Linked DNA regions of Bombyx mori. The protein of the gene in region 1 purifies or fractionates together with the protein of each later gene. This does not show direct contact. Links are inferred from orthologs where the notes say so. Each region holds a gene or a part of one and is shown in the gene's direction. Other genes may lie near its edges.

What was found.
Region 2: the proteins of histone deacetylase complex subunit SAP18 (region 1) and splicing factor 3B subunit 1 purify together in Homo sapiens (co-immunoprecipitation; 3 studies listed by BioGRID and IntAct, with this or other methods). This does not show direct contact. The link is inferred for Bombyx mori from reciprocal best matches to the Homo sapiens genes SAP18 and SF3B1.
Region 3: the proteins of histone deacetylase complex subunit SAP18 (region 1) and serine/arginine-rich splicing factor 1A purify together in Homo sapiens (co-immunoprecipitation; 4 studies listed by BioGRID and IntAct, with this or other methods). This does not show direct contact. The link is inferred for Bombyx mori from reciprocal best matches to the Homo sapiens genes SAP18 and SRSF1.

What each region holds. Positions count from the first base shown.
Region 1 is NC_085129.1:7,369,328-7,379,954, reverse strand, and holds histone deacetylase complex subunit SAP18, read left to right. Parts: upstream 1-5,053; 5' UTR 5,054-5,301; coding exon 5,302-5,376; intron 5,377-5,711; coding exon 5,712-6,116; 3' UTR 6,117-6,147; downstream 6,148-10,627. Other genes in the region: protein sarah, read right to left, coding at 632-1,303; uncharacterized protein LOC101740121, read right to left, coding at 8,969-10,003. UniProt on the Homo sapiens protein: Component of the SIN3-repressing complex. Enhances the ability of SIN3-HDAC1-mediated transcriptional repression. When tethered to the promoter, it can direct the formation of a repressive complex to core histone proteins.
Region 2 is NC_085116.1:8,406,192-8,416,692, forward strand, and holds the end of splicing factor 3B subunit 1, read left to right. Parts: coding exon 1-178; intron 179-1,235; coding exon 1,236-1,519; intron 1,520-1,620; coding exon 1,621-1,824; intron 1,825-1,929; coding exon 1,930-2,128; intron 2,129-2,503; coding exon 2,504-2,662; intron 2,663-4,009; coding exon 4,010-4,302; intron 4,303-5,486; coding exon 5,487-5,645; intron 5,646-5,749; coding exon 5,750-5,938; intron 5,939-6,051; coding exon 6,052-6,234; intron 6,235-6,493; coding exon 6,494-6,672; intron 6,673-6,755; coding exon 6,756-7,001; intron 7,002-7,752; coding exon 7,753-7,965; intron 7,966-8,155; coding exon 8,156-8,372; intron 8,373-8,898; coding exon 8,899-9,057; 3' UTR 9,058-9,238; downstream 9,239-10,501. UniProt on the Homo sapiens protein: Component of the 17S U2 SnRNP complex of the spliceosome, a large ribonucleoprotein complex that removes introns from transcribed pre-mRNAs.
Region 3 is NC_085122.1:426,990-435,845, reverse strand, and holds the start of serine/arginine-rich splicing factor 1A, read left to right. Parts: upstream 1-3,145; 5' UTR 3,146-3,364; coding exon 3,365-3,543; intron 3,544-4,286; coding exon 4,287-4,650; intron 4,651-5,544; coding exon 5,545-5,621; intron 5,622-6,305; coding exon 6,306-6,414; 3' UTR 6,415-6,424; intron 6,425-7,597; 3' UTR 7,598-8,856. UniProt on the Homo sapiens protein: Plays a role in preventing exon skipping, ensuring the accuracy of splicing and regulating alternative splicing.

The sequences.
Region 1 (10,627 bases):
TACCCACAAACTGAAAACATTATTAACAAGCCCAAACAATATTAAATGATGTTCATATTGCAAATAAAATAAACTACAGCAAATAGTAACAAAATAATATGTAAGATAAAAAAGATATATGTTCATATTTTTTGTAAGCTCAAGAAAGCAATCTTTTGTATTTTCATTAATATGCTTCAATGACTGATATGTTTTGAACTATAGTCATAACTGCAGGCTTTTAGCTTACTAAACTATTACTTTAACAATATTTATAATTTAAAATTCTATCGCACAATTGGTTTTCCTTCTGTCTGGAACTATTCAGATTAAATTTCTTATTAAACCATAAAATGTTTGTAAAACAATTTTTATGATTACCCTTTAATAGAATGTAGCACCAATCCAACTTCAATTGAATTTACAATATGATTAATTAATAAAAGTATGCAAATCTATAACAAATTAAGTAGTTTATCATTGGTGAGTTGAGTTGACTATCATATACAACTATGCCTTTTCCATGATGGCTATTTTTCAGCTAAATAAATTAACATCTTTGGCTTTACACATCACAAACATGACATGAGTTTTTTATAAAAGCATTAAAATTCTATTTTATGTCAACATTATTAATTCATAAGGCATTTTATCAGTATTCTGGACAACGAGTGTGAGGAATTTTTTTTGCACCAGGCGGAGGAGAAACCTCTGATATTGCAGTGTGCACTACAATGGCTGGTTGTGTTGGTGTGGGTGCGTGTAGCTCTCGACTTTCACCAGGAGATAAACTTGCAAGTGCCGCTAAAAGGTCATGATTCACAATGGGTTCACCTTCTTCTCGAGGCTCCCAGCCAACTGGAGGACTTGATGGAGGTGAAATCAAAAATTGCTTAACAGGCGCCGGGGGTCTGAGATTCTTAAATGAAATTGGTGTCACAGGTTGGGCAAAATAGCAATTTATGCATGAATCATAAAATTGGTATTGATGTAATTGAATTCGTGCATTTGCGGCAGCTAAGGGGTTGTCATAATTAACGCGTAATCTTTTGAAACTGCGGAGCCACTGAAACGTTACATTTTCCGAAAATGTACGGAATAAGTCTTCCATCTCTTTTTTCAATTTTTCATCAGAAAAAACGATGCTATTAATGTTTGTTACAATAACAGATTTAGGTAGGTCATCAAAGTTGTCGACTTCATCTTGAGTATCACTTTCTTGTTCAAAATTAACTATATTAGGATGAATATTAGGCATTCCATCTTCTGGATTTATGTAAACGTTTTCTTCGGGAAATAGATCGTAGTCTTCTTGGTGTGCCATGTTTCCCCGCTACTGTGTAACGTATATAACAGTATCTGAATATTTATATACAGTAATACCATTAACAATTCTACTGTTAGCGCTTAGGATATTTTATTTAATGAATTTTTCAATTTGACTGTATTTATGGTATTTGACAGCTATCGATTGAACATAGATAATACACATATTTTATAAAACTGAAGATTGAAATCGCTTTTTAGTTTAAAGTACCGTACTGAACGACCATTAGCTATTCAGTATTTTAGTCTAATGTTAGCTATTCAAATTCTTCAACCTTCAATAATAAGCCACAGTAAAAAGCGAGAGCTTACTAAAACTTACTATATTAGGAGAAGCCTTTTTTTATGATTGAGGGCTTACTGGTGGCCCGAAGGCCATTCCAGTTTCACAAGGACAGGTAGAAGCCATGTCAAGAGGCTATTCTCGGCTTCTTATATTTCTCTCTTTCTCGAATTTGTTCTCAAAGTCACAATATTCATCGGTGTCCAAAATAAAGCAAAATTAACATAGCTTCGCTCCTTGCATTCTCTGCCAAAATAATAGGACATTATGATCTTATTGACAACCTAAAGACACTGCTAATATAAAATGACGGTAGTCTACTAGTTTATGTGTATTATTATCTATAGGTAGTTTTGAACACTTTTATGACTTATTTATTAATGCGGTGTACAATAATCGAAACATGTTATCAGAGATATTGTACTTCAGTAACGGAAACATTAGCTATACAATTAATAAAATAGTGATAGAAATTACTAGCCGTTAGCCGCGGTTTCGTCCACGTGGCTGTGAAACAATGTCAGTGTAGTTTATGAGGACAATGACATCCTTTTTAGAATAAAAGGTAGCTTAGTATCTGTGAAAGTGCACAAGTATGAAAAATGAAACAAGTCCAAAAAGTCATAGTATATAACCACCATTTTACTGAATCTCTCTACAAAACTTGCATATGCCCCGCCATGACGTATGCAAGTGTAGTGTTCGCTCACGCGGCCCGCACCAACTTCAAATCCCTTCAGGTTATTCAATCCCGTTTTGCAGGATAGCCGTCGGAGCACCATGGTAAGGAACGTGGATCTCCATTATGACCTGGAGCTCGACTTAGTCAGTAAATATCTAGAGTCGGCATCATTGCGCCACTTTGAGAAGGCTGCATGACACGGGAACCCTCTTGTCGTGGCCGCTGGAAATTACATACCCGATCTTGTAGACTGAATGGTACCACAAGCATCGGTCATCGTCCTCGTCGAACCCGTCCCCTGCGACAAAGGGCTCGACGAGCGAATTAACCCACAGACACAGCCCACTGAGTTTCTCGTCGGATCTGCTCAGTAGGTCGCGCTTCCGATGCGGTAGTAGGTTCTGCGAAACACTGCTCTTGCTAGGGCCAGTGTTAGCAACACTCCGATTTGAGCCCCCTGAGCTCACCTACACGTTAGGGCGAAGCTGAAATAGGCTCTCACTCAAGGCTATCAGCATAAGTAGGAAAAAAAAAACTGAACCTTTTTTAGTAACATTTGGTTGTGTTCATAATCTTTCATCTCTCATCTCATGTCGTTTCAGTTAGTTTCACCTCAAATGATTACAATCTTTAATAAATCAACTTTATTTCTTTTGGCTCATATTATAATATATTCATTAACAGCAACCTATTCCTCGAAATGGTTTTTTGTATCAAAAAGAAAAAAATCATCGATACTCATTATAAAGTAATAGCTGATATGGAAATATTTTCTGAGTAGTTGGAAGTATTCGTGAACTTTACATAATATATTACGTACATATTTAATTAGAAAATGCAACCTCTCTGCAAGATTTGAATACTGACAATGAGATAGTCGATTAGTCACATCGTTCGATCCACGACGGGCGTCTTATCCTTTAAATCACGACGACTTCGAACATATGGCCTTAGTCTTCATGGTCATAAATTTCTAGTTATAACAACATGTCGTTTATTTTTATTAAATTTTTTGGTTTTTATGACCTGGTACTTCCAACCTTTAGGTCAAACATGTCATTTAAATAATGGTAATGAAATTTATATCTCAATATAACATTAATTGTTCTCTCGGTCATGTTTATAAAATTTGCTATCATAAGTTTGATATTTAATTTTGGATTGAACAAACTCGATGCTAGCAATAATGCATCCCAAGAAGTTCGCTTCTCGAGTCCGCTTCGAGTAGGTATAATGGCTTAGCTATAGATAATACAAATAATATAAGACCTTAAATTATGTGTATTATCTATGGCTAAGTCAACCAATTCATTTATAATGGACTTTTGGCGGGAACGCGAGGAGTGAAGTTGTGTGATTTGTTTTATTTTGTCTAGTTAGTGTTTCTTCAGATTTAAATGTGTAATAGCGGTGGTTTATTAACTGTTTAGTATCTGTGAAAGTGCACAAATTTGGGAAAATAAAACAAAGCCACTGAACGTAACTTCTCGGGATCTTCCAAAAAGTCCACTGAAAAAGTCTCAGTAAATGACCACCATTTTACTGAGATTATGCTTCATCCCATATCATCTCATCTCATGTCATTTCATTTCGTTTTCATTTCACTTTAGGTTTCATTATAATCAACTTCATTTTATTTCATAATATCATTTTCATTTAAAAAAGTTACGTATCATTAAAATTAAAATAATACTTGACCTAAAGGTCTTAGTTACCAGGTCATAAAAGCCCTTCAAAAAAAAAATCATTTATCATCAGAAATTGTTTAAAGGTACCGTAAAATGGGGCGATTAGGGACAAATTCCAACTTTATGATCAATTTTAAGGTAGTTGTTGATGTATATAATGCTATATCAGGATCAAAATGATTGAGTCTTGGGGGCATCTTTGTTGTCTAATTTAAAATTATGGAACTAGCATTCCAGTTTAAGCAAAAAATGCAAAAATAGGTGTAATCCCTATTTACCCGAAAATTGCGGTTAATTGGGACGAAATGAGAAATTTGCTAGGGTTGGCACTACTTTTATTTTTATATATAGTTTTAATTTATTTATTTATTTAGTTGCACCAACAAAGTGATCATCAATAAAAAAAATTGAAAAACTGACAAAAGTACATGGCAGACATCACCTCAATTATAGGTGCAATCGACAGTGCTGATATTTCTATCTGGGTTAAGAGATTAGGTGTGTCGGTTATTCCATGGATTAATCAGATGAATACCCCCACTCTGAACAAATATTAAATATTTTATTATGTATTACTTAGACATTTTTGTCCACCTTGAGATTTCATTGATCTTGTTACATGTCTCTCCAAAATTGACTTACTTATATTAAATTGCTTATCTATTTCAAATAAAGACTTATTCCCAATTTCGCTTCGAATAAACCAGATTTTTACCAACAAATTTAAAAAATATTGTTATAACTACATAGACAACCCTACAAACCTGTACCTATTTATACTTAGTTCGTTTCCATTTCACGTATTCTCATCCCAATTGACCCCTTTTTCGTTGTTATTTGTACCTAAGCCGTCCCCAATATCCCCAAAACAACAGATTTTTACATGTATTTTTATTTAATCAAATACATTAAAACCAATAACAACTGAGACTTACCTTTAATATATATGCTGGTTCAAACACTAAATAACGTTTATAAATCATAGTCGTTTTCTATTATTATCAAATAAATAAAAGAGAGCAAAGTTTCTAGCACTAAAATAATTACCACCACAGGAAGTTAATTTGAAACGCGATTTTTTATAAGTTAGCAGCTATTATCATGCATATTCAGAGTTGTTTTGTGAACTTTCAACATTCTACTATTAAACTACAAAAAATGGAAGATTTTGCAACGAATATAAAACTTATATTGAGCGTCGAAAGATTTTCCCAGTTTTTTCCCGATTCGCCTCTCAATCCCTAATCGCCCCATTTTACCGGTACATGTATTTAAAGACTCGCATAATTTAAATAATTACTTAAGTTGGAAAAATTAAGTAGGACCACAATTCTCCAAATATTATGAAAATGGCGGGATTAGAATCAATGGTAGTTGAAGAAATTAAACCGACAGAAAAACCGGTGGACAGAGAAAAGGTACTTTGTTAAACAATATAATTGATTATTTTTTACTATAAACAGCATTTACTTTAAATTAATGTTCGCCAACTGATTTTAATTTGACCATAATAATCAACAGAACATTCAAATCCGTTGTGTCTACTAAAGCACTCTGTTCTTTTTTGTTTCGTAATTGACATTTTTTCTTGTAAATGTGAGATATAAAGTAACAATCTATTTGTTTTCGATAACACTAAAGCTCGTTCATTAGGATTATAAATAAAACACAATAATTGAATTGACAGAGGAGGAAATTTGTTATGCTTTTTCCTGATTATATAGAGATATAAATTTAACCTAAAATGTTTCAGACCTGTCCTCTATTGCTCCGTGTGTTTTGTTCAACTGGCCGACATAATTCTCCTGGAGACTATGTTAGAGGAAACGTACCTCAGAATGAATTACAAATATATACATGGATGGATGCTACACTGCGAGAACTTACAGGACTTGTAAAAGAAGTTAATCCTGAGACGAGACGGAAAGGCACATACTTTGATTTTGCCATTGTGTATCCTGATATGCGTTCCCCTACATATCGTATGAGGGAAATAGGAGTTACATGTTCCGGACAGAGAGGAGGCGATGATAACAAGACACTTTCACAACTGAAATTTCAAATTGGGAACTATCTAGACATCTCAATAACACCCCCAAACAGAATGCCACCACCAATGAGGCGTCCACAACCATATATTAATAATCGTCAGTACTGATAATTAAGTTTAATAAAAGAATGTGTATCAACTGTGTTCTTTCACTTGATTTAAAGGGTGAAGTTGGATTTCATTAAATTACTATTATAAAGGGGAACACCCACTCTCCATAGTGTTCTGGGCCCAAGATGGACATCAAATATTACTATAAAAATGGACTGTTTCTTAAATATATTGGATATCTAAAAAATATATTGAAATTGACACCACTATTATAAAAATAAAATAAAATAAAAAAATCGTTTTGAGGTTTATTTTCTATATAAATAAGTGTTGGATTATGAGTTACTTCAAGAACTTTTCTTTTATTAATGTTTAATTTATTAATTATGATAAGGGAGATGTTCCTAATGTAATTTTATCCAATTGTAGTTATTAGGGTATAAAAAACACATGTTTTTCTAAATATCTATGTTTTCTTCATCTTCATACACAATTAATAAATCATCTAAAAATAGCGCAGGAGGGCATATCCACGGTTATGAGTCTCGTTCAGTTTAAAACCACAATTCACACTATGTCTTAGTCGTAGTATGAAACATTATTGATCGGTATCCATAATCGAATGTAGCTGTGATCTTTAACTCCTGAGCCAAAGTCGTCGTTGAAGGGAGGATAAAATCCATAAAACAAAGTCAGTAAAATAAATCGAGGAAAAATCAAAACGCATCCATTTTACGCACCATTTTTCCGTTGTGAGCACAAGCAGCAAGCGAAGTGTCAGTCAGTCAGGTTTTTATTTTAATTATTTTGAAGTCGTCGTGACCTAACGGATAAGACGTCCGGTGCATTCTTGTTGAGCGATGCACCGGTGTTCGAATCTCAGGCGCGTACCAATTTTTCTAATGAAATACATACTTAACAAATGTTCACGATTGACATCCATGGTGAAGGAATAACATGGTGTAATAAAAATCAAACCCGCAAAATTATAATTTGCGTAATTACTGGTGGTAGGACCTCTTGTGAGTCCGCGCGGGTAGGTACCACCACCCTGCCTATTTCTGCCGTGAATCAGTAATGCGTTTTGGTTTGAAGGCAGCCGTTGTAACTATACTTGAGACTTTAGAACTTATTTATTTATTTATTTTTATTTATTACACTTCATATAAAATTTACATTGGCGGACTTAATGCCTAAGGCATTCTCTACCAGTCAACCAAAGGTAGTGCAGAGTGAATAGTGGTAGGTGCAAACTTATATCTCAAGGTGGGTTTTTTTTCTGCTTAGATGGGTGGACGAGCTCACAGCCAACCTGGTGTTAAGTGGTTACTGGAGTCCACAGACATCTACAATGTAAATGCGCCACCTTGAAATATAAGTTATAAGGTCTCAAGTATTTAAGGTTACAAGTTGAAGTCTAATGGGTATGTCTTTGATGTTATTTTATGTGCTTATAATCGATTAAAATCCATTGATTAATGTTAATACTTAAAATGTTTTATTTATATTTTTTTTTATGCACTTAAAATGTTTACTTAATACGTAAAAGGTTTCAAACTGGCAATATTTTTCCCGCAAAAATCAAAAACTTGTTTTTTCAATAGAGTTACTTTTTTTAAATTATTTAATGTAAACTGCAGTGGCGCTCATTTGGAAGAAATTAAATGCATATTTATTTATGACAAAATTAATGCACTAAGTATTTTTTCTCTAATCTATTGTCCACCTTGGGCCTGAAATGGGCATTCCCCTTTGTGTTTGTAATTACAAAAACAAATTTATAATATCAGGTCCAAAAAAACCAAAGGTCTACTTCAAATACTGTTTTAACACTTATAATTTCCTTCCTGAGTTATGGATTTTTTTTTATCAATAGGCAATTATTCTCACAGCTGACCTGGTATATTAATAAAATTTAGAAGGTATATATATTAATTATTTTTTTGTTGTAGACATAAAACCTATTGCATGGCCAGTTATAAAAAAAAAGACAAAGAAAAAAAAGACTCGCCGACCGCACTGCGCGCATTGTGCACGGACCCGCCGTATTTTCATCTTATTATTTTTTTGGAATTTCACTATGTACTTTTCTCTTATGAACTGCTACGGGCGATCATCCTCGTCATTGTCCGAGTGTTACACCGGCTTAGCGAACACAAATAAATTAGAGGAGAGCTGTCAAGCCGTTAGGCCGAGCGCCGCCAATACGCGTCGGCCACCAGTCACGTTTCTTGGATTCTGCAGCCTGCAAGAAGCCAGCGACGGGCTGTTAGGTACGTCTACTTCTCATTACCTAGCCTCGGCCTGCCCTTCTTTTTGATCACCTGTTGGCGATACTCGCGCCCGCAAGAACCTTCATAAATATAGAACCAGAGCATCGCTGTGGTGAACATTTTTAAAAGATTTAGTTTTTTCCCCACTACAAAAGTTCAACTATCATATCGAGCGGTGAAAGGCTATCTGATATAAGCGAGATTTCGTTTAATACGCGACATTTATCATGGAACTTTAATTAAGTTGACCCCAATCAATTAGCTGAAGTTTTTTTTAAAAACAAATGGCATTTCACCCCTCCATCTGACGTCAGGTATGTATGATGAAAGCTTTTTCTCACATTTTAATTAGCATGTAGTACATGCAGCACAATTTTTTTAAATAAAAAACATGCATGTACTCAAGTTCAGAAACAATTTCCTTTATTTCTTTTTGCTGAATATAATAATCCATGAATAAAACAAATTATCACTTTAATAATTTTATTTTGATTGCACCTAATTTGTTGGTTTATAAACCTTAACAGATTCCTTGTTTATAAACAACAAATTGAGTTAATGTCGACACAATTTAATGACAATTAAAATGTACCTACTATAAAAATAGTCCCTAAAATAAATATACAATACCTAAATCTAATGATTGACGGGTGACCTGAATGGTCTCTTGGTTTTCTTACCCATGGCAGAGAGATCTATTGTGATACCATTGGGTAGGACAGCCTTATTTTCTTGGTAGTCTATAAAACCCTTCTGATCTTTTTCTTCCTTGTTCTTGTCGCATAGGATACCAGTTTCGTAATTGTATTCGCGTTTAAGACCATCAGGGTCGACATAACCGTATTTACCGCGGGTAATACAGTCTATTCCAATGGTTTCTTCCTTAAAAGAACCGTCGTCGTTTTCGAAGCCCCATGTAATGCTTCCATCCTCGTTTTCATCTCTGTATTTACGAATAATTTGAGCGACTGGTTTCTTTTCTCTTGTATTAGTTGGGCTGTACTTCTGTTGTGTGTTTCTGACGGGGGCGCGGATTGGCTCCTGAGGTCTTGTGTACTGTCTAACGGGCTGGATTTCTTCTTCCTCTTCTACAAAAGGCTTAGTTTCAGGCCTGAATATAGGTCGTTGAGGTCTATTGGAAAGTGGTTGAATTCTGGCAGGTTGAGGTTTGTTAATTGGTTCGTTTCTGATAGGGTTGAAAGGTGTGGGTGAAGACGGTCTGTATTGCGTGGGACGGATGGGATCTAGCTTGACCGGGCTAGGAGAAGATTGTGGGAACGGGTTAAAGATTATGGGTGGTTTTGGCTGAGAAGTGGTGGTGATGTCGTAGAAGTCATTTTGAGGTTCGGGTGTAGAGTAGCCGCTGGACGAAAAAGCTGTAGGAGTGTTAATTTCGTATTCATCTTCTGGTTCTTCAGTAACAGGTTTCGCAGGTTCATCAAGTGACTGAAGATTTGGACGAGGTGAGGCATCCACGGATTTAAAAGACGGTCTGGCAAATCCTGGTCTTCTTACTCTAGGAATTGAACCAGGCACCGGTGCTATCCTTCCTTGCCTGAAGCCGCCTTGCCTGACTGGTCCTCCGACTGGAATGGCTCCTGGTATTTGTAGTCTCGGAGGAATAGGAGAGTCATTTTGCGCATAAGCTGTTAAAGCAAACAGCATAGAAATCTGAAAATAGAAAAAAAGAGTTTTAATTATAGAAATTTTAGGTTTAAGTTATCGTGTAATGTGTGACACACTTAAGGCGTTCATTTTAATACTTTTACGCAATACGACTGGACATAAATTTTTTAGTAATAAAATACCAAACTTAGAACCAAAAACGGATGAAGTAAAAGAAATAACAAGAAATAGAAAACTTCCTCTTGGCACGTTGTAATAGCTAGGTATATGTATATATGAATAATCCAAGAAGGGTGGATTTGAGGTCAGTGATCAGACATAAAACTCATGCCTTATCATACTGCGCCTACCTCACATAATGGGGGATGAGGGCGAGAAAAAGAAAAGATATGCGTACCCGAAACATGAGAAACGAAAAATTGTCGACTATACCTAGAACTGCAATCACGTTAAGTAAAGATTTTGATTCTAACGGTCAATCGCATTCGGTCAAGATTTGTATAAACAAAAGTAACCCGATTATTGTCATAGTTATTGGTAGTAATCATATTTAGAGATAGAAGATTACCATAATTATTCAAAGAAACAGGGGTTATTAATACTTAAACATTATTAAAACTTAAGCTAAATAACGATTAAAATTCTGAAAAATCAAAATCTCTACAAGAA
Region 2 (10,501 bases), on another chromosome or scaffold:
GGAGTGAAAGCCATGGCACTGGCTACACCAACACCTGGTCATGTTGCAGCCATGACTCCAGAACAGTTACAAGCTTATCGTTGGGAGAAAGAAATAGACGAGCGTAATAGACCTTACACTGATGAAGAACTGGATGCCATGTTCCCTCCTGGGTACAAGGTTTTACCACCGCCTGCCGGTATGTACTTTCTAAATGAGTTCACTCAGAAACTTTATTTCTTATTTTTTCTTATCATTACGGAAAATCAGACATTAATCAAAATTTCATTTCAGGACACATGTTAATTACTTGAAACCTGCTGATGGGACGTACGTTTGTGAAAGTTAGAATAACGTGTGTTAAAGAGTACTATTTTAATATAACTTTTTTCTTTCAGATGATCACACATTTTGTACATTGTCGTGCCTGTGGATTTATAAAAAAAATATCTTTTATTTACACTGCTGATTTTATCTGGAGACAATATTCTGTATATATTTGATTTTTACAGCTGCGCTACCTTTGGCTGTATACTTTCATAGCAAAAATATATAATGAATTTCAAATACAAATACGTATTTGAAATTTAATAAATTAATTAACAATTGGACTATACCATGCCGGACAGAAAACTAAATTAATTGAAAAAATATTAACCAGTCCAGCAATCACAACATCCCATTAGCTAAGCAAATCAATAAAAAAAAAGTATATAAATAGGGTGTAACAGTTGCAAAAAGAAAATTGAAGTTGATGTACAATGCCTATATTGAAATATAGAGTGTTGATTATAAACACGACGGTGGAGTCCAACACAAAACTAGGGGATCTTACATGCTCATATTATACATATTTAGTTATGAAATCTCAAGTTTAGCGACATGGTGAACTGAGATGAAACACACCAACTACGACTTACTACTAATATTCTTCGAGAATTTGTCCATACCTGTAGTGACAACATCGTCTTCTTTTCGTTTTTAACCCCCCAATTGTTGTCTTATGTGCTGGGGGAGTTCCAAGCAGCAGCGTATTCTGGCATAAAGAAGTGTGTTAGCGATTGTCGGGTAGAATAATCACAATTCAACTAACTCAACTGTGATATCGATCACATGTCTCAAGATGGGCGGCGGCATTCACACTGTGGTGCATATAAGCTCCGGTCACCGCTTAACATTAGCTGGGCCCTGAGCTCGTCTGCCTATCTACGATTGTAAATTTAAAATAAAACCTAATAGCAAGTATTGTTGCCCAGGGTACGTCCCGATTCGGACGCCGGCCCGCAAGCTGACGGCGACGCCCACGCCGTTGGGTGGTACTCCAATCGGGTTTTTCATGCAGACGGAGGAGCCGGGCGGCTCGGCCGCGGCGGCCGCGCGTCTTCTCGACCCTCAGCCCAAGGGTAACCAGCAGCTGCCCTTTATGAAGCCCGAGGACGCCCAGTACTTCGACAAACTTCTCATCGACGTCGACGAGGATACACTCTCTCCCGACGAACTTAAGGAACGGAAAATAATGAAGCTTCTTTTGAAAATAAAGGTTCGATGATTTTTACCGTAAACGTTAAATAATCATTTTGATTTTGATGTAAACATATTGAGTGAAAAATTAAAAAACAAAATGCTATTATCATGTTGCAGAACGGTACGCCACCCATGTGCAAAGCTGCCTTACGACAAATAACAGATAAAGCTCGCGAATTCGGTGCTGGACCACTTTTCAATCAAATTCTGCCATTACTGATGAGTCCTACGCTGGAAGATCAAGAGAGACATCTACTGGTCAAAGTCATAGACAGGATTTTGTATAAATTAGACGACTTGGTTCGACCCTACGTACATAAGGTAAATATTATAATAAAAAAAAGAAAACATCAAAATATTAATTGTAATTAAGGACATTAGAACAAACCTATTTTTCTTTATCCTAAATTATTTGAATTTTGTCAGATTCTTGTCGTCATTGAACCTCTGCTTATTGATGAAGATTATTATGCGCGTGTCGAAGGTCGCGAGATCATTTCAAATTTAGCTAAAGCAGCCGGCTTGGCTACTATGATTTCTACAATGAGGCCTGATATAGACAACATAGATGAGTATGTACGAAACACAACCGCTCGAGCGTTTGCGGTAGTGGCATCGGCCTTGGGTAAGTTTTGTCATATGAATATTTAATTATTTTTTAAAGGGCATATTTACTGTCGTCTTCTTGTCCCTCGCCTCGTCTTATGCCTCTATGGTGTTTCCTCTAAAAACAAAAAAATACTGACAGGGTCCGTACTAACACATGTAATTTAATCTGTTTTATAGTTTGCTGTCAATCTTTTTGACAGTCTTATGAACATGATGATTTGAGTTAGTGGTATGGTTAAGTCTATGGGGAAATTATAATAATTTGTTCAAGTTTGCATACTTGCTATTCCCTATTATTATATTCCTATCCTAAGAATAAGCTATTTTTAACATAGGCTGTTGTTAACATAACACATCTTCAACACCATAAAAGAAATCTTTTTTTTTCCAGGTATTCCATCTTTATTGCCATTTTTAAAAGCTGTGTGCAGATCTAAGAAATCCTGGCAAGCACGTCACACAGGAATAAAGATTGTGCAACAAATTGCTATTCTGATGGGCTGTGCTATTCTGCCACATTTGAAATCTCTTGTTGAAATTATTGAACATGGTAAGATTAATATTTTAATTATATTTTAAGGATTTACTGAAACTTTCGGAATGCCACAACACCTAGTGGTTCCTGGTGATAGAACCTCTTGTGAGTCCGGACGGGTAGGTACCACCACCCTGCCTATTTCTGCCGTGAACCAGTAATGCGTTTCGGTTTGAAAGGCGGGGCAGCTGTTGTAACTATACTAAAAAAAAAACACCAATCTTTTCCGTAAACCATAGAATATAATCTAATCAGTGTATTCTTAATATGCCTCTATTAGTTTAACCCGTATTTTTACCTGTGTAATCCTATAAAGTAATTTTTAATAACTAAGAAACATCTGATTAATTTGAAACTTTACACATTATTAAAGACCAATCAATTAACATAATTGGATATCACTTTGCATTAATGACTTGACGACGATCATTAGTATAAACATATATTTTTGTATTTGTACATTTACTGTAATAATGTAATAAGGTCCCGGTTTTTCCCGAGCGCTATGACATGTCCTTCTTCAAACGAGGCTTGTGGAGAGTATTAAGCGGCAGGCAGCGGCCTGGCTCTGCCCCTGGCATTGCTGACGTCTATGAGCGACGGTAACTACTCAACATCAGGTGGGCCGTATGCTCGTCTGCCTACTACGGCAATAAAATAAAAATAAAATTGATATTATTATAAATTATTATTTAACAATAATATTTACCTCTATTCGATTTATAAATATAATGTAGCCCAAAGATATAGTTACGCCATGTATTTGTTGACACAATATTTGGTGATATTTTGTAATAATAGGTAGATAATACTTATTTTTTGCATTAGTATTCTAAGTAAGACATTCAACTTTTATTCTTAACTACATACTATTTTATTTTCGTTGATGAACAGATGCGATCTAGTGTTAGCGATTAATGGACACAATAGAATCGTCTGTACCGCCGCTCAGTTTTACATTAAACATAACTAATGTCTCGGTTGTCTAGTTGATTCTAAACACGTCATTTCGGATCCTCCGGATCCACTAACGGTGCTTTTAGGTACCTCAAGCACCGGCCATCGTTCTTGTCGAACCCGTCGCTTGCGACGAAGGGCTCGACGAGTAAATTAACCCTCAGACACAGCCCACTGAGTTTCTCGCCGAATCTTCTCAGTGGGTCGCGTTTCCGATCCGGTGGTAGATTCTGCGAAGCACGGCTCTTGCTAGGGTTCGTGTTAGCAACGTCGTCAGGTTTGAGCCCCGTGAGCTTACCTACTAGTTAAGGTTACGCTGATATAGCTTCTCAAGGCTTTCAGCTTAGGTAGGGAAAAAAAAGATTCTTAAATTACAGTATTTAAATAATTCATTTTATGCAATAGGTCTGGTGGACGAACAACAGAAGGTCCGAACGATCACGGCGCTGGCGAGCGCGGCTCTGGCCGAGGCCGCCACGCCCTACGGTATCGAGTCCTTCGATTCCGTGCTCAAACCTCTGTGGAAAGGTATTCGTACGCATCGTGGTAAAGGTCTGGCTGCATTCCTGAAAGCCATCGGATACCTCATCCCTCTCATGGATGCAGAATACGCGAATTACTACACACGAGAAGTGATGCTAATTCTTATTCGTGAGTTCCAGTCGCCCGATGAAGAAATGAAAAAAATCGTCTTAAAAGTATGTCTCTTTTTTTTCTTTTGTAATTCTATTTTTGGTGCTTATTGATTTTTTCATGTTTCTATCGCCTATAAATGTTTTAAGAAAGTTTACATATAAACATTTCTTAATTAAAGTTTCTGATTTAGAAACATTTTGCAGTGGTATGGGGTGGGGTTAATTTTCAAATAACAAAAGATTTTAACCAATATCTATTCAAATCAATATCAAATCAATTCAAAAGATTTCAAATAATAAAATAAAAAACAATTTAATGTTTCATAACATTATTGCTATTAATGTAATATGATTTATAGATATGCGAGAGAGATGGCCAGTTGTTGCATACACATAATATGCACACACATCTGTATATCCATTGGAAAATAGTGATCTCTACTCTCTTGTTTTACAACGAATTACGATGTTGTTTCTACAAAAAAGTTGCTTCCTAATGAGTTATTTTATTTTTATTTATACTTATTGTACACAAAAAGAAAATACAATAAAAACAGATTTAAAGAATTCTAAATACTATGTACAAAGGCGAGCTTAACTCATTCATGAGTTTTCTTCCAGCAAACCATTATCAGAGAGAAATACGATGTATAAGAGGGGAATAGTGTACAATATAAGAGCTATTAAAGCATGATTTTTAACTAAGCATTAAAAAAATAATCTAATATTAAATGAAAAATACATATAAATAAAAATACATAAAACAATAACTTAAATACGATTAAAGTGACAGGAAATGTTTCTTCATTTGACTCTTAAAAACTTCTAGAGAGGAACTAGCACGAATAGGTTGAGGGAGAGAATTCCATAATCGCACTGCTTGTATTGTGAAAGAGCCACTATAGCGACTAGAGCTGTGTATGGGAGTTTTTAAAAGAAGAGAAGTGGCTTGTCGACTAACTTTGCCGTCAGGAATCAGATATTCAAAGCGTTCACGGAGATAGATAGGGGCATCAGGATTGTGAAGAATAGAATAGAGAAAAGAGAGAATGTTATCATTAGTTATCATTAGGAAGCAACTTTGTTGCTGTTGCGGATAAAATAATAAAGTCAAATGTCTAACATGAAACATGCCTATTAGCTTAGACTGTAAGTCTTAGATAATGCATCAGTCATATACTAATTATCTCACCAAAACCAATAATCACTGTAATGTAATTTAATACACATTGTACTTAATATTTTAGGTAGTAAAACAATGTTGCGGTACCGACGGTGTTGAGCCTCAATACATAATGGATGAAATATTGCCTCATTTCTTTAAACACTTCTGGAACCATCGTATGGCCCTCGACAGACGAAACTATCGCCAGCTTGTCGACACCACAGTGGAAATTGCAAACAAGGTACTAACTATTTCGACCAGAATCATTGTATTTCCATTAATTCACTCAAAAGTAATCATTTTCCCAATCAGGCATTGCTTACATTGTGAAACTATTGATCGCAGGTCGGTGCATCAGAAATTATCAACAGAATTGTTGATGATCTAAAAGACGACAATGAGCAGTATAGAAAAATGGTGATGGAGTCCATTGAAAAGATTCTCGCTAATTTAGGAGCAGCAGACATTGATTCTAAGCTCGAAGAAGCTCTTATCGATGGAATATTGTATGCATTCCAAGAACAGACAACTGAGGTAAAACATTAAAAAAAGTTTAAATGTCTGATTTTTAAACACTTAAGTCGTGACACAAATCTTTTGTAAGTAATCTCTAACTTTATATGATTCAAATTGTGATTTTTCGATAGGATGTTGTGATGCTGAACGGTTTTGGAACAATCGTGAATCAATTGGGAAAACGCGTAAAGCCCTATTTACCACAGATATGTGGTATTATTCTTTGGCGTATGAACAACAAGTCTGCTAAAGTTCGGCAACAAGCTGCCGATCTCATTTCTCGGATCGCTGTCGTGATGAAAACTTGTCAGGAGGTAATCACATTTTCTTTGCCATATCCTCTTGTACGCTATGCTTCCTTACTAAATTAGTATGTAGTATAATTTTTTCGTAATATATTTTACAAAATGGGCAAACAAGCTCAACTGTCGCAAAGTTAACGGGGGTCCATACACCGAATTTAATTTGTCTTGAAGTATATTTGGATACATTAGGAAATGTATCCAAATATACTTAATTTATAACATCATTACCAATTGATTTTGAAAATTTTAATTGCTTGCTATTTCATAGGAAAAGTTAATGGGGCATCTTGGTGTTGTACTGTATGAGTACTTGGGAGAGGAATATCCTGAAGTGCTAGGCTCTATACTTGGTGCATTAAAAGCAATTGTCAATGTTATTGGAATGACAAAGATGACCCCACCAATAAAGGATCTCCTGCCTAGGCTTACACCCATTTTGAAAAACAGGTAACCTTGTTCTATAAATAGTGACTTGATAACTTCATAGAATCTTTAAATTAAATCTTTAATATGTTTTTTTTTAATTCCAGGCATGAAAAAGTACAAGAGAATTGTATTGATTTAGTGGGTCGTATTGCAGACAGAGGACCGGAATTTGTGTCGGCCAGAGAATGGATGAGAATATGTTTTGAATTGCTTGAACTATTAAAGGCTCATAAGAAGGCAATTAGACGAGCGACTGTAAATACCTTTGGTTATATTGCTAAAGCCATCGGTCCTCATGACGTACTCGCAACCTTACTTAACAATCTGAAAGTGCAAGAGAGACAGAACAGGTCATTATTTAATTAATAATTATTAGTAGATTAGTTAGCTTATTAAAATGAGTAGGATACGTTAGATCCTGCATGTTTGTTATTATTATTATCATTTACATAGGGTAATCAAAATAAAAGAACCCGTTTTACCAAAATATCCAAAATAAATTCTTAATAATAATATGGTCACAGGAAGTTGATATAATTTTTTCAGATATATTATGATCACATTGGCCCATCTAAATTTACAGTAAACTTATTTTATTTCCCTACATATTCTCTGGTAGCCTAAGGGGCTATTTCAGCGATGCCATGGTTGCTAGGTCAGCTCACAGGGCTCAACCTGAGAGATCTCGCTAAAATTGGTTATTCACAGAATCTACCACCGACTTGGAACCGCGACCCACTGAGAAAATCCGGCGAAAAACTCAGTGGGTGTTATTTCGCTCGTCGAACTGTGTCGTAATCGAAGAGTTGGACGAGGGCGGTGACTGATGCTTGGAGCCTAGAATAGAAGCACCCAAAAGGGATCTGATAAGACATATTTCGGTGACGGCGACTTTGCCCTTTCCGTCGCCTGAGTCGAATTAGCGATGGACAGAAAAAGTGGGTTATCGTATCGCGCCGCTTTTTCAAAGTACCATTCTCACGCTTCCTTTAGACACTTACGAATCGGTTCTAGTAAACTGATCGATGTTTTCTGTGTATGGATGGAGTTCGTGTAACTAATGCACTAAGAGAGATATTTAACGATGTAATTAATTTTCAGAGTGTGCACAACGGTCGCTATTGCTATAGTTGCAGAGACCTGTTCACCTTTCACAGTGCTACCTGCTTTAATGAATGAATACAGAGTACCGGAATTAAATGTTCAAAACGGTGTGCTCAAATCACTATCTTTCCTTTTCGAGTACATTGGAGAAATGGGCAAGGATTACATTTATGCAGTTTGCCCATTATTGGAAGACGCGCTTATGGATCGGTATGTTACATGTTTTCTGCCCCAAAAACATTTTCCTTTTTCGTTGTATAAATTAGATCAGTATTGAATAGTAATATAGATACGTTGTTATTTAAGATTCATTGGATATTAGTATAAAGAAGCTTTTTATTTTCTAAGCTTAATCAATATTTCCTCAAACCCCAATAAAATTGATTATTAAATTTCACAGAGATTTAGTACACAGACAAACGGCTTGCGCTGCCATAAAACATATGTCGCTCGGCGTGTATGGTTTCGGCTGTGAAGATGCCTTAGTACATCTATTAAATCATGTTTGGCCAAATATTTTTGAGACATCACCGCATCTGGTGCAAGCCTTCATGGACGCTGTTGAGGGCATGCGAGTTGCCCTAGGTCCCATTAAAATACTTCAATATGCATTACAGGTTTGTAATATTCATCAAAACATTTTTAAGAGTTAATTAAAAGATACGTCTTCTAACTACTATTTTCATGTTTCTGAAGTATATGTGATATAAAATATTGTCATCTATATACACTTCGAATGTGGTCACGGAGTATGTTATGTTAAACGGTTCCCAATACCGTTAAGAGACTATACTATCGAAAACGCCACCCAATTAATTGCAACATTTGTAAGTCTCAACTTAATTTGAATAATGGCTGCCCTTGTGCTTAAAATCGCAGGCACGACACATATAGGCAGCTCCATCAGTACCCTAGCTAAGAACTAGGTGTAAAAATATATGACTTTCTGGTGTCGACAGGAAATGTAAAATACTACTAAAGTTTAGGTCGCTCTGTATCTTCTAGTTATAAATCCTAAATTCTATTATTATGTATGTCTAGATGTTATGATGTTATAACTTTTGTGGATATGGATTTTGTGGATATTGAAATTAAAGTACTAATTTACAAAAAAACTTTAATGAAGTGCATGACCATTCACAGGGCCTGTTCCATCCAGCGAGGAAAGTACGCGACGTTTATTGGAAAATTTACAATACGCTTTACATCGGAGGACAGGACGCACTTGTTGCAGGATATCCCAGAATACAAAATGACCCAAATAATCACTTCATTAGATACGAATTAGATTATCTGCTTTAAAACATTATATTAAGATAGTTATAATTAAGAAACACTTCTGGGTTTACTGAAAAATAAATGATAATGCAAAGATATTGTTCTTATTTAATGTTTTTATCGTAGGTTCATGTGTAATTGAACCATCCTGCATTTGAAACTGTAAAAACAAAGTTTAAGTGTTAAAAATAAACAATAAAACATATTTAGCTAGTACATTATTTGTAACCTCACAATCTAAAGCGAAGAACTCCTCTGACGAGACTGCGGTGTTAAATTTAATTACATTTTGTTAATTGCTTGCACGAGTTTTATATGCATTTTAGAGACTATTATATAAATTGGCGACGACCACTAATTGCTTGGCGTAATTAAAGTTGAAACATTCATAAAGAAGTTTTTTTGAAGGCGAATAAGGCGCCTGTACGAATATGTATTGTATGTCTATGAAAACTACAAAGAGGTGGATACAATCAAACTTACCGAAATTGATTCTTGCATGATCAGCACACAATCTCCTCATCAAACAAACTAAAAGTGATTTAAGCAATCTTACCAGAAGTCACGCTACAAATAATAAAAATGAAATTCTAGAGCTATTGCTTAACTAATATATTTATGGAAGATAAATGAATTAAAAGATTGTCAAATTTGTTATAATTATATTTTTGAGAAATTACACAATTTAAGCAAAAGCTAATTTGGTTTCACATTATTTTAATCAATAAAACGATTGTTTAATACCGTGAAAATAACAAAAGATGACTAGAAATGTCTTTTGAATCAATACCGATAGAAGTATTTATTTATATCACCTTAATATTATATATTTAAATAAATGAGCACAATTGAAGTAGATTCCGAATTATAGTTGTAGTTTTGTTGAATATACGTTTTCCAATATAGCTTACCATAATAATTTTTAATAAAACGGAAGCCAATATTGATGTATTGCACTAATAAACTATTTCCGAGCTATTGTTACAAATTTTACGTCCGTTTTCATTGGGACGCGGCTTGAATAATCGCGATGAGTACAATATCGATTCGCCCAGGTCATTTTAAATGATTTTTTTTCCACCTAGTGACTGGTTACATTTTAATTTATCTTAGTTACTGGTTACACGGGGTAGCATCACCTTAATCACGCGTATATAGACTTTAGGATTATGAAATTAATTGAAAGTGGCAGATTTATTGTAGTAACAATTTAACAAAAAAAACCATATGACCCCCGCTTACAAAGAATCATCATGTCACGCGGCCTTAGCTCATGGAAAGGACTAATAAATAACACTATTTAATCCAACACTGGACTGTCATGAAAATATGTTCGCACTGCCACCGGTGTGCCAGCCATGCTGTCACTAAATGAATCGATCAAGCTCTACTGCATTTAAAGGCCTCTAGTTCAAACAATAATATCAATAATTTTTCTTGGCAATGTTAAGCGAAAGCGTACTTGTTT
Region 3 (8,856 bases), on another chromosome or scaffold:
AGCGCGCCCTTTCAACTATGTACCATTTTGATATATAGACAATTTAAAAACAAATTTTACATAGGCAGATTCATGATAACGCTTTAGATCTACATTTATTTACCTTAGCACCGAAACGGTATCAGAAGGTTTTCTAGTGATAATTCGAACGGAAGCACTGGCGCTTATACCCGTCATCAAATAAATTAGATAGCTACCACACAGCAAGCGCTAATGACTCAGCGCCGTGTAAGTTTTCACCTTAGTATAATTTCTATAGAAACGGGAATGTTGAATCAATACAAGCATCTGTTGTATTATCGCGAAACTTGAAATATTCTATAACCCGCCTTTCGTAGTACGTGAAACATCGTTCTTTAAAAAAATCTTTAAAACCGATATTATATTAAATAAACATTGACAATGCTTAAATATTCCTACTTAAATAATACTGAAAATACTCACTTTTGCTTCGATAAATGAACAAATTCTCACGTTAAGATTTTGATAACCGGAGATTCGATGCCTACTTTCCAGAGGATTCTTTCACAGGCTTCTTTCAACAAAATTGCACTCGACATGCGCGAGAGGGCGTTCTAAATTCAATTCAAATTTTCGAAAACTAAACTCTATGGTCAAACAGCGTATTTGGTTTATTAGTGGCCTGATCTACAAGGAATGATAATAATTTTCCCTAAAAACAATAATTAAATTACTGGCTAATTAAAACAGTGAAAAATACTGCCTACAATGCTCGTGTTTAAACTTGAATATTTTATTCTTTAGTACAGTTACAAGAAGATCTTCAACAAAACGAGGTTTTTGTCAAGGATACTACTACTAATTTAGAAAATCGAATGTTCGAATAGTAGTGTAATATATACCATCGTAAAATCTAGAGCCAGCACGTTAGGACAGTGGTTCCAGGGAGCAACCTAAAACGGTTTACTAATATCTGCTATGGCAAGAGCAGTGCTTCGCTGAATCATGAGGAATTGTTTATGCAGTGAAATGAAATGAAGTTGATCTATTTGAGACTGAACTCGATATAGATTTTAAACGAAATGAGATGAACTGGGATGAAATAATAGCTCCGTGAAATGGTACTTATTTACTCAAACCACAGTGAGCTTTCTTATATTACCTTTGTAAAAGCCAGGTTCAGCAGCTTTTTTTTTTAATTTTCTCTTACATATGCACTTGGACAGATGCTAAATGGTTAATAAGCCACCACTATTACACGATTAAACCTGAAGAAACACTAAATTACAAAACAAAATAGTTCCTGCCAAAAAGAGTGTCGAAATTTACAAACGCTTTTCATTGGTCTCATCGTATATAAATAGCTTTTAAGGCTTCGTTTCTATTGCCTTTCCAATGAATAAAATAAACTAGTATAAGTTGTTCGCATTTGCTTGTGTATATTGGTAAGCCGGCAGATTTCGGACGCGTGCTTGGACTTCCTCTACATGACTCCATATTAAGTATTCTTATCAATGCTAAGTATTCTTATTAATGCTAAGTATCCTCAACATTAAGCTTTTTTGTGATTGAAGGATTACTGGTGGCCCTGAGGCCTTTCTAGTGTGGCGGGTAGCCATCATACAACGCAAGATAATTGACAGATGCCTGAATCTCGCTTACGACATTTTCAAAATAAAGCGCATATATAAAAGTTCCAAACAACAACATTAGGACCGTCGGTCTACCGAGCAAATATCACCCGCTCGGTGGAAGATCTCCCCTTTGTCGTATATCTCTACAAACTGGTGACCTGCGACGAAACCATTGCAGCCTTCACACTTCATCATCAGCGCATCAAGAACTTCGGCTACCACAATTCTCGCAGATAAAAGCAAGTCATCGACAGTAGTCCCACAGCAAGCCAGCATCGCAGCCTCGATAGGACCATCGCAGCTGACTCACCGCGCTTCCTGCTCCTACGGCACGCACCTACACTGCCTCATCACGCAGCATTCAAGCTCAGTCTCGACTCACCGCAGACTACGAGCAGCACTAGCGACAATCACGCAGCAATTCAAGCTCAGCCTCGACTCACCGCAGGCTTCGAGCAGCACTGGCCCTTGCAAGCTAATCTCAGCATGGACAACGCTAACTAAAAATGACACGACCTCCAGTCTCGGAGGGGAGTGATGTGGCGGGTAGCCATCATACAACGCAAGATAATTGACAGATGTCTGAATCTCGCTTACGACATTTTCAAGTTAAAGCGCATATATACAAGTTCCGAACAACAGCATTCGGACCGTCGGTCTACCGAGCAATATCACCAGCTCGATGGAAGATCTTCCCTCGGTCGTTAAGCTTCCCCTACACTAATTTCACCAGGACAGTTAGGTGAGCAAAAGCGCAGCCAGGAGGGGTGGGATTACTTAACAGCTGCCCGAGCGCCTCCGAAGGAGACTTATCAACTCAAGAGTAGCTGCTTTGACAGCTGATCCGACGAGAAACTCAGCGGGCTGATACATAGATTAGGTTGCACGTCGAACTCTTTGTCGAGTTCTATGAGTACGGTTACCGGGGTCCCTGAGCCTGCTACTAGTGTTAGAGCTGAAGGCTTCTAATGCAAAGGTTATTGGATCTGATGGATCCGTAAGGACGTGTCTAGGGCATCAACGGTGACTGGCTCCTGCATGATTAGAATTCGAGGAGTAATCAACGGTGGCACCAATAAGGCGATTATCATGACGCATAGCCTTATTGTATTATTTATTTTATTTTATTTTATTTAATCCATTCAAGAAGATGACACCTTAAGCACAAGTTCAAGTACAAGTTCTCTAGTAAGTTCCTACCTGATTTTATATGGGAAAACCCATACTTTAATGTTACTAACATAACTCGAAACTGCCAATATTGATCAGCCTATATATTAATTTCCATTTAACAAAAGTGAAGGGCAGCGGGCTCGAAATTAGAAAGACCTATAAAACACGCTATAGGTACTGATTTCGACACAGAAACTTCCGGACAAGCAGGAAAGAATGATAAGTGTCCTGATCCTGATATCACCAAAAGCAAACTACATTTCAGATTAATTATTCAATTTTATGGTGTTTAGTTTTAAAATGTGCCGGACGACTACATACACATCTTTGTATAAATCCTTTCACACGGACTTTTGTAAAAATTATACAGCCACATATTTATAATCTATGACCAGGTTTTTCCACTTCCGTTTTCATGATTATCGTTTTCTTTTCTGTCAAATCCACCGTGATCCAAAATCGGAACATTGACATTTGACGCCATATTGCCCGACTTTCAATTACACACAGTAAAGCGTCGGATTGGTGAAATTAGTCGATGAAGCCAACATAATAATAAGTAAACGTTTAAGCAATAGTAATATTCTTTAGCTATAATGTCGGGTGGAAGCAGTAGCAACAGAAATGAGTGTCGTATATATGTTGGAAACTTACCACCGGACATAAGGACAAAGGATATTCAAGACTTGTTTTACAAGTTCGGAAAAGTAACGTTCGTTGACCTAAAGAACAGAAAAGGTCCGCCATTCGCGTTCGTGGAATTTGAGGATCCCAGGTGAGTGTTGAATTCGAAAAGAGAAACGGGCTATCTATATTACTAACGTTGTCCATGTCTGAGTAGCGATAATCATCCCGTGTCAGGTGGACGGAATGTTCAGCTGCCTTTGAAGAAGATTTAAAAGAGCGCATACGTTATGCCGCATACACCGCTATCTGTACCCGACTATAGCGAAATGAACAATTTTATTCAGCGTTAATATAATTTTCCACACCACAGATACAGATACAGATTAAGTAAACATTTTTACTGATAAATGAAAATGGGACTTTAAATTAACAATTAATCATTTATTATTTTATGATTAATTGACAACTAATTAGTTTAAAAGTTGGCACATATTAAAATATATGAAGGGTGGCACAGATTTAATAGTCTGCCAGAGCACCTGTATCCATAAATCTAATAATATTCACCTATGATTTCTAATTATTTCAGAAAAATTAAAATCAATAAAATTTGCTGATTATTGCCAATTATATAAAATTATAACACACATATAAACACACAACATATTAAATTAAAATTACACAATGAGTGATGTCAAAACTGTGTGTGATTGGTTCTTTTATTAGATATGTCCACTTCATGGTGAGTTGTTACTGTCACTAATGAACGTCAAGAATACCAGGTGCACAGCTCAGAGCCTGCCTTGTTTCACTCCTAGTAGAATATACAGTCATATCTACCTAAATTAATCTGAGACAAGTTATTTTAATAAAATCTATTTTGGAATTCAGAGATGCAGATGATGCAGTAAGAGCCAGGGATGGTTACGACTATGATGGGTACCGTCTTCGAGTCGAGTTCCCTCGTGGAGGTGGAGGTGGAGGCTCTCGTGGTTCTCGAGGCGGTGGTGACCGTTGGGGTGGACGAGGGGCAGCACGTGGTCCGCCCGCTCGACGCTCTGAATACCGCGTGCTCGTTACCGGCTTACCGCCCTCGGGTTCCTGGCAGGACCTCAAAGACCATATGCGAGAGGCCGGCGACGTATGCTTTGCAGACACCTTTAAAGATGGATCTGGTGTTGTGGAATTTTTGAGGCATGAAGATATGAAGTATGCTGTTAAAAAGTTAGATGATTCTAGATTTAGGAGTCATGAGGTTAGTTTCTTCCACTTTATTTGAAAATAATTATAAACATAACCTGTAATGTGAAAGAACAGTACTGTTGGTGGATTGTCCCAAATTTTTTATCATTGTTACCCAACGTGGACATAAAAGTTTCAAGATAATCAATTGTGTCAAATACTTTTATAGTTTAATTTGAATTAGTTAGAAGTTTAAGGCTCATGAAGGAGAAATTAAACCATGGGATAGTGCTTAAACTGTTCATTTACAAATAGCTGCTCAAAATCAACAACTGTTATTTTGTGTCAAACTCAGTAGATATCTATAATGTCCAAAATTGCATTCTGTAAAACTCAAGTAAATAAAGTAAGCAAAACAAACTTTTGAATTCTTTAGCTAGGTTGGACTAAGCTGTCTCCTTTTTCTGATTATTTGCAATACCAGTTTTTTTTTTTTTTTTTTTCAATGTTTTTTTCTGCCCATACTTGTTACCAATTTGTTTACTGAATTATAAAAAATGAGATTGTCCTTTCAACATACAGTTAAATATTTTTTTTAAAAAACAATTCACTTGTCAATTATGGTAAAGTAATTTCAGTTTGAGAAAAACTGATATGAGATTGAAAAGAACAAATGGAATGTAAAATGAGATGTGAGGCAACAAAACATCATCTCAGCTTAAGTAAACTGAGTTTGCTTTCATATTGATATTACAAAAGAAATTTGAACCATGGATCAAATTTGAACCATACTTTCTTAATCTTGATATTACAGACCTTATGGTCATAGATGATGAAGATTATAAAATGAATGAAAAGAAAGCTATATTACACTGTAAAAGCGTTTTACAATCAACTCAAGAAATTTAAAAAGCAAGCAGTGTCATGTAGTGCAAGATTTAGACGTCTATTAAATATTCATTTCCAGGGTGAGGTGACATATATACGTGTGAAGGAAGACTATGGCGGTGGCGGCGGTGGCGGTGGTGGCGGCGGCGGTGACAGGTACCACTACATACCATTACTACATTAACTGACTACTATATCATTTAATTGGCCAAATATATTGATTAAACTAGCTGACCCGGCAGACTTCGTAGTGCCTCAATCGATAAATAAAAGACCTAACTATTGTATAAAATAAACTTAAAACAAACAAAAGGAATCCGTCCAACGGGGGACACATCAAAGGAAAAACAAAATTTTATTTTACCTTTTAAACGTCTGGACTTCCACAAATAATTCAAGACCAAAATTAGCCAAATCGGTCCAACCGTTCTCGAGTTTTAGCGAGACTAACAAACAGCAATTCATTTTTATATATATCGATTTTGTTATCTCAGCCCACCTTTGGACATTAACAATTGTGTTGGATAACTTAGTACTATTAAAACTGTCTTTGCTAAGAAGATGTTAATTACTTCTAAGGCAGGGGTGGGCAAATACTTTAAAGCGCGGGCCAAAATGAAATTTTCAAAATGTCTCCCGGGCCGGAGGACTATACCGCATATGCTTTTTTACCGCATATGCTTTTTTAATGCTGATGTCAGCAAAATCTCATAAAAGAGTTTAAAAAAATTTATGTGCGGAATTTTTCAACGGGCCGGATAAAATTAGCAAAAGGGCCGGATCCGGCCCGCGGGCCGGCTTTTGCCCACCCCTGTTCTAAGGTGATATATTCTTCACAAGGTCTCGGTCATACTCCCCGCGGCGTCGTGGCACCCCAACCTACTCCCCGGTGCGACGCTCCTACTCGCGCTCGCGCTCACGCTCCCGTTCGCGGTCACATAACTACTGACTCCCACAAGGTACTGTACTCTTATGAGATTATATCTAATTAAACATTGCTGTTCACATTTGGTAGGTTCTCTATAATGTTCATACATTGTTAGAAACATGGATTATTTATCAGTGGATAAAACTACCATTCTATTAATAAAAACTTAATGGACTTGGATAAATTTAGTCTTATAGATAACTAGCGAAAGTAGGAATCATAATCTGGTCAGCATGGCCGTGCAGGGATACCCTAAGGATACAGATTTTCATAAAATGTAAACATTATAAAGATGAACATTAAGCACAATTAACATTTGATTACAATTAATGCACACCATATGTTTACCGACATTGTTGGTTTGTCAAAATCAATCGGTAAGTACAAATGTTTTCTATAATTTAGAGACATTGAAATTGAACATTTACCTAATAATTAAGTAGTTTTTTAAATCTACTGGACAGCAAATGTGAACTAAGCAACTGACTTTAATGATTATCAGAACTTCATTTTAAATAATAAGTGGTTCTATCATCTAATGATGTCATCAAGTTGAAATGATTGTTTTTATATTGTAGCTGTGTTCATAAAAACATACTGAATTTAAAAAAAAACGACATATTTTCACAGCCTATGACAGACAAGATCCCACTATAACAGATTTTAAAAATAATCCACTATGCCAATTACTCTAGGAACCCAAAATGGGAAATGGCGATATATACACAAAAGGAATCTCAAAACATAACTTTTATGCTAAAACTAAAATAAAAAACTAAAAAAAAAACAGAAAATAAATTTAGATCTAACAATTTTGTTGAGTTCTCTAGTACTAATTTCACTTCTAATGTAATTTTATCTACTAACGTCACACTATCTATTATGTGCGAATTCTCCAGACCGTTTCAGTGCATCAAAAGTAGTATAACTACGACAAACTGTTCAAGACAATAATGTACTGTTATAAATAAAAGATAGATAATGATATTAAAAATAGATTTTGTTGTGTATTAGTGAGGGTACTTTTCTCTTTAAAAGGATTGCTAAGTGCGGGTTGTATAAAGACAGACACACAGTGAACTGACTTGTTACCCAACATATGTGCATAATAAATTACTGGTGTTCATAATAAAATAATAAAACATAATAAATTTAAAATTTAAAAAAATGAAGAAGATGAACAATTCTGTGTGTTTGTGTGCAGCCGTAGAGGTCAGTGACACGCGCCGAGAGGTCATCGCCCCCGGTGCCGCCGCGACTCCCAGCTGTTTGTAGTTCATAAGCCCTCCCACTTGTATACAAACAAACATTCACGTTCAAATGCAAAAATTACATGTTAGCTCTCACTGTATCTTTGGAGACTGTTTTGAGATGAATTTCGTCGGTACTGCTTTTCATACTGTAATGTCCTACAAATTGTGCAATGATTATTAAATTGGGAATTGATAACTAACTGTAGGGTATGAGCTAATATTACGCGAGTTCACTTGTACAGTGAGGCTACAAACCTTAGGACCATGTTTTTGTTCAAACAAGACTTGAGACATAATATTTTTTAATTTATTTATGAAAATGTAAAGTATAATAGATTCAGATGCATAGGGATGAAATGAATTTTAAGTAATGAAAATGTAATACTCATGCTAAATTGGATATGGACAAAATTAAAGGGATACTTCAATTTTCCAAAGTTGTAAGCAATTTTATATTTGACCAACAGTTAGTTGTGTATTTGTATCGTCTTTAATTCACACAAAGGTGTTTGTTCTGTTTAAATCCAAAAACCTCCAATTTTTTGTTTTGTTAGACAATTTTGAATCTTTATTTATAATTTGCTTTTGTTTTTTTAAAATCTCAAAACAAGTTTTATCCAAAGCATTCTCTAAATTCTACTAATTGGATGATGAGTTAACAATACAATTTTTTTATAAAAAATGTGTCAATAATCAGAATATTGACATTGACGATTTTGAAACTTCACAGTAGAAACTCATGACTTGTTTAAAAATATATTTCACAAAGACTATTGTTTAGGAATTTTTGCTTTTGAACGTGCCTTTCAATACTTTGTTTCGTTGACTGTTTTAATTTTAAAAATTTATTTTATGAATTGGTGATGGTCTCAAAATTGTAATGTATTAGATATTAGAGCAAACACCCGCGAGTTTGCGACTGAACCACTCTGATGGAAACCATTATACATTTTCAATATAATCTTTCACGATTCCATCCATATATTAATATCTCTTTTAAATATTTCATTGTAAAGGTGATTTTTTATTAAAATTGTAAAATAAAAAAAAATAGTCCACGAGGCACAGCGTTGTTGACACTGACACCGTAGTAATGTATAATAAGACAGAAGGTTTGACATGTATAATTAAAGTAATTTTCTTTTGTTTCATCGACTTTGGATCGTTGGATGTGCTTGGATGGGATCGTTGGAGGTGTGAGTCAGGATCG